2 linked regions of the Kluyveromyces lactis genome follow. The protein of the gene in region 2 binds, or shares a complex with, the protein of the main gene of each other region. Links are inferred from orthologs where the notes say so. Each region holds a gene or a part of one and is shown on either strand. Other genes may lie near its edges. The genes, in order: RPL38 and RPP1A.

Evidence for each region.
Region 1: RPP1A (region 2) and RPL38 share a complex: the UniProt entries of both Saccharomyces cerevisiae proteins name them as parts of the large ribosomal subunit. The link is inferred for Kluyveromyces lactis from reciprocal best matches to the Saccharomyces cerevisiae genes RPP1A and RPL38.

Annotation. Positions count from the first base shown.
Region 1 is NC_006039.1:1,609,109-1,611,624, reverse strand, and holds RPL38 (60S ribosomal protein eL38), read right to left. Parts: upstream 1,084-2,516; coding exon 847-1,083; downstream 1-846. Other genes in the region: KLLA0_C18238g (PEX28-32 family peroxisomal membrane protein), read left to right, coding at 1-249; transcription factor IIF subunit TFG2, read right to left, coding at 1,737-2,516. UniProt on the Saccharomyces cerevisiae protein: Component of the ribosome, a large ribonucleoprotein complex responsible for the synthesis of proteins in the cell.
Region 2 is NC_006041.1:1,966,620-1,969,129, forward strand, and holds RPP1A (ribosomal protein P1), read right to left. Parts: upstream 1,017-2,510; coding exon 696-1,016; downstream 1-695. Other genes in the region: KLLA0_E22001g (60S ribosomal protein eL13), read left to right, coding at 1-238; SIP5 (Sip5p), read right to left, coding at 1,674-2,510. UniProt on the Saccharomyces cerevisiae protein: Component of the ribosome, a large ribonucleoprotein complex responsible for the synthesis of proteins in the cell.

The sequences.
Region 1 (2,516 bases), on a different chromosome or scaffold from region 2:
AAAGTATCGTTTAGTGATACCAGTGACGTAAGAATCATACCTGATGATTCCTACGAAAAGGATACGGAAGGTGATTCTGATGCCAGTTCTGAAGAACAGGGAGATCAGAATAAAACAACAGACGATAACTCTGAAGTGATAGAAGAAAGTCCGAATGAGAATTTCCAACGTTCAACAGACACATCTGGAGATCTTAAATCCAGGGTCACCGAATCAAATCTTGCATCTTCCGACGATACTCCAAGGTAGCATTTCACAGCGAAGTATGCCTGTCCCCTGAGTTTCCAACTCGTATCGAATAGCGTGCTTAAAGCACACCTATATACTCATATATACCAAAAACAAATAAAAAAAATAGATGAGATAATAATCATGCAGTGATAATGACGATATAACAGAGCTTGTACTAATAATACCAGGGAAAATTCATACTGTGTATAACCTCAGTCATTTTTCCTTGTGAAGCCCAAAATAAAACTTTAAAAGCTCGCAAAGACAATTAACACAGGTAAAAAAAACCTACCACTGGACGCTTAATACAAGCTGTATTATCATCATTAGAGTAGTAATCTTATCGTCTCATCAATGAAAGAATGCAGATAAAAAGTATGCGTTTATTATAACTTATTTGACGAGTTTGTTCATTTCAATCTGGATGGTTCGTTCCTCAGGTAAAAATTGCCAGTACAAAGTGCTGGTAATTAAATCAATTCAAATTCAATTTAAATTCAATTCAATAAGAGTACTTACCCCACACCATGGGTTGAAACAGACGATTGGTGGAATTTCCAAAAAAAACAGTTGATATGGTATTAAAGAAAGTATTAGTGTCTCTCTAGACTACCCTTACAACTTGTTAACGTTGAAAGTTGGTGGCAAAGATTGCAACAATTTCTTGGCCTTACCAGCATCGTTAACAATCAAGGTGTACAAGTATCTGGAACCTCTTAGCTTGAACTTGGTTTGTCTGAAAGCCTTACCGTTCTTGTTCAACTTCTTGTTGATCTTGACGGTAGCAGAGTTGACATCTTGTCTTCTGATCAATTCCAAGAATTCCTTAATATCAGCGATTTCCTTAGCCATTTTTGTTAATGTACTTCCTAGTTGTTGATGCTTGGAGATTCACAGAAACTATTAAGACAAAAGAGTTAATAAACTGTAATTAAAAGTTATAAAGAATACTAAACAAGAACCGATAATACAATGTAAAAAACGCTAAACATCAAAAAAACACTAAATGGACATATACAAAACACCACTATTAACGACAAATGTTAAAATCTAAAACGTTAAAACTGTCGAAAGTTGTTCGAAACTAAACGTTTACTGGCTTGCCAATTGCACAATACTCAATGAGCACAGTCGATGAGATTGGTGAAAAGTTTAGTTGATGGTGTGTGGGTGTCAGGAGGTTGGCTTTTAGAGATTTTTTGGGTTTCTTTGAGTATTATACTACCCAATTGAGAATTTTCTCGTTTTGTATCCGGATGTGTGGGTTTTTATTTTTCAGTGTTTGGAGTGTATGGGTGTTATTTTAACAATGGACAGTCCTTTGTTAATCACGTGATTTGAATTCTTTAATCCTACTATTGGTTCAGGTCACAAGAATACATCACAGGACTAGACATGCCAGCATCATGAATAAGATATCCATTCATTTACTAGATAACCGGTGGGGCATGATTATGTGTATATATATATATATATATATATATATATACTATGTTTGAAGGGTTCTACAACACATCCTCCATTTCCACGTCTTCCAAGTCTTCCTCCTCTTGCTCGTTCTCCTGTTGTTGTTGTTGATCAAATTGGTCTTGAATCTGCTGCTGTTGTTCTGGATCAGCGTGTTGTGCCAATTCACCAAGCGTAGCAGCTCTTTCAGCTTCCTTCAACTTTTTATATTCCGATTTTAAAGTATATTTCAAGGCATACGGACCCTTTTTCACAAGCATAGCAACTTGATCTAGCGATTCCTTTAAATATGCTTCTGGTTGTCTTGTTCTCTCCTTCAAACCTTTCAAGGACCAATAATCGTATTCATCAAACAACTTGAACAATAGATCCAAAAGTTCCTTCTTTGGCAAACGGATAGCCCTTGCGTTGTTCTTCTTTTCCTTTCCAACTTTTAAGAACTTGGAAGTGTCGGATCTCATCGACATACCGGCGTTACTCATAGTGACACCAGGAGTTTGGTCAAGCACCGTAACCGTTGGTTTGTGGATGTTTCTAACGATTTGTCTTCTATGTTCCACAATTGTATGGTAATTTGGATCGTCTATCGAGGGCATCACTTGACATTCGTGGTACACTTTCCCCGTCACTGCAGTTTTCTTCGGAATAGTCTTCACGTACGGGATGTATCTATCTCTACCGTCCCTATCCGTCATGACACGGTGCTGAAACCTTCTCTTGTTGTACTTACGCTTCATCTGCTGCTGTTTTTTCTTCATCTCTTCCTCTCTTTCTTGTTTCCTTATGTATGCCTGTCTTTGCAACTCGGGGTTCGACTC
Region 2 (2,510 bases):
TAAGATCATCGTCTTCCCAAGAAAGGGTAAGGCTCCAGAAGCTGAACAAACTTTGTCTGCTGCTGCCTCTTTCCCAATTGTCCAACCAGTTACTGACTCTGAAACCAGAGCTGTTGAAGACAACGGTGAATCTGCTTACAGAACTTTGAGATTGGCTAGATCCGACAAGAGATACAAGGGTATCAGAGAAAAGAGAGCTAAGGACAAGGCTGAAGCTGAAGCTGAAAAGAAGAAATAAGCAACTCCATACCTTTTATTCAAATACTAGACAAAACGTTGTTTTATTTTATAAATATCTTTTAATCAAATTATCTTTCCGTCATTAAGAATTAATGTCACCGCATCCCCTTTCTCAATAAGTTTCCTGTTTGGTAATTATGAGACATTGTCTACCGTGTAAAAAAACGTATAAACTATAATATTTTACATCTAATTCAAATTATCAGATTATCAATTTGTCTAATGATATTATGGAACCTTATACGATCCTACTTATATTTCAAAGTGTCACTAGTGATGAGATGCTTTGAAGATTGGACGTTTGTGTATTAAAAACGGTTGATTATATATACATATTTGTGTATACACTCAAATGATGTGTTATTTGATTCTCAAATTTAACGTAGTAAGTAGTAGCTTAATGCGCTAGTAATAAAAACAGAATTTATTCCTCCTATGTTAAAAGTTAACCTAATTTAATCGAACAAACCGAAACCCATGTCATCATCGGATTCTTCCTTGGCTTCTTCTTCCTTTTCTTCAGCAGCAGCTTCTTCGGCACCGGCAGCAGCACCACCAGTAGCAACTGGAGCAGCACCACCAGCACCAGCTTCGAACTTGACCAACAAGTCCTTGATGTTTTGCTTAGCCAAAGCCTTAGCAAAGATATCAGCCCAGATACCTTCAACTGGGACGTTGGCAGCTTCAGTCAAAGCCAACAACTTTTCAGAAGAGACTTCGATATCAGCATCAGCCAAGATCAAAGCAGCGTAAGACAAAGCAGTTTCAACAGACATTTCTAATGTAAAATTTCCTGGTTCTGGCAAGTGTAGAGATAATCAGATTAAGCTCGTAATGAAGCAGACTATTTCTTTGGTCCTTTGAAAATAAGAGAAACTAAATAATAAAACGATATAAGTAATAAGAATATTTCATAAAAGAAGCTTCAAATTGAACAAATGCCATCATGTGTAAAACAAATACTTTTCCTATCGAAATGTTAAATGGTTACTCCTGTAAGTTTTATTGATATTTCACATCTCATCGTGGAAAGGTGAAAAATTTCAGGAAAAGCTGCGTGGTTTCGTCAGGCATGATAATTCGTGTGATGTGATATAATGTTTCTGCATGAAACGCTGGATGTACAGAGTCAGCGTAGATGTACAAGGGAGAATCCCTGATATTGAGTCGGAGTGAGTCCGCAGATGGGTGCTATATTCCACATAATATTCTATGTTTTATAAACATATATATACTCGCGCGCAGTGTTACTGATGAGTGTACCTTGTATCTTAAGGTATGATGCGAAAGTTATGGGATTGTTAAAAGATGCATGCAAAGTGAAGTAATTTGCGAATGTGTTGATTGTATCTGTCGTTAGTCGTGAAGGTAATGAAGGAGACAGCAGTGCAGGAGAAAATGCTTTCAGTTCATGAAATAAGCTCCAAATTAGGTTAATGATCCTGCAAACTTAGTTTGATTGCTTGTTGGAGCATTTCGTCATCCAGTTCTTCTAATGTTTTCTGACGACGTTGAGGACTATTCCCTCCGTCAGGGCCTCCAACTGAAGAAGAAATGGATGCGTGTCTAGAAGGGTGTTCGGGATCAATTAATTGATTACTCATGTGTATTGCAGTAGCTTTTGCTGATCTTCTAGCGAGTCTTAATCTTTCTTTGGTTAGATTGATCTCCCAGTCAGGTCTTATAGAATCGGATGTTATCACAGACGGATCATCGGCTGCTATTGAGCCCCTACGAATTTGTTCTATAGTTACGAGTTCGTCATCTTCATTGCTGCTAGAATCCGATACTAGGCCTTCACGGTCCTTGTATTCGGCAATCTTGTATTCGGAAGCGTAGATCCCGTTGATTCCAGTCCGCACGTCCCTGCGCGGTTCGTATGTTACACCAAACTCTGCAGTGGCACAGTAAGGGCAATTGGCAGGTTCACTGACAAGAAGGTTGGGATCCTTCAATTCGTCCGGTTCTTGATCTTGAGTTGGATCTACCTCTTCATGCGGGAAGTGTGGTGCGGCACGCTTGATTTGGACGAAGCATTCAGTACAGATCGGTTGCTTGCAACATCTGGAAATATTCAAAGGCTTAGGAAAGTAGAGGAAACATATTGGACATTCTGCTCCATTTTTGTACAAAGTATATTTCAAATCATCACTGGGTAAAGCCGGGTTCTTTGCTTCCGTATGTTTTTTGTTCATAAGTTTCAGCTCAAGATACCGTTCATTTGCCCTCTCCTGCCAACCAACTCTTTTGAAATATAACCTTGCCTTAGA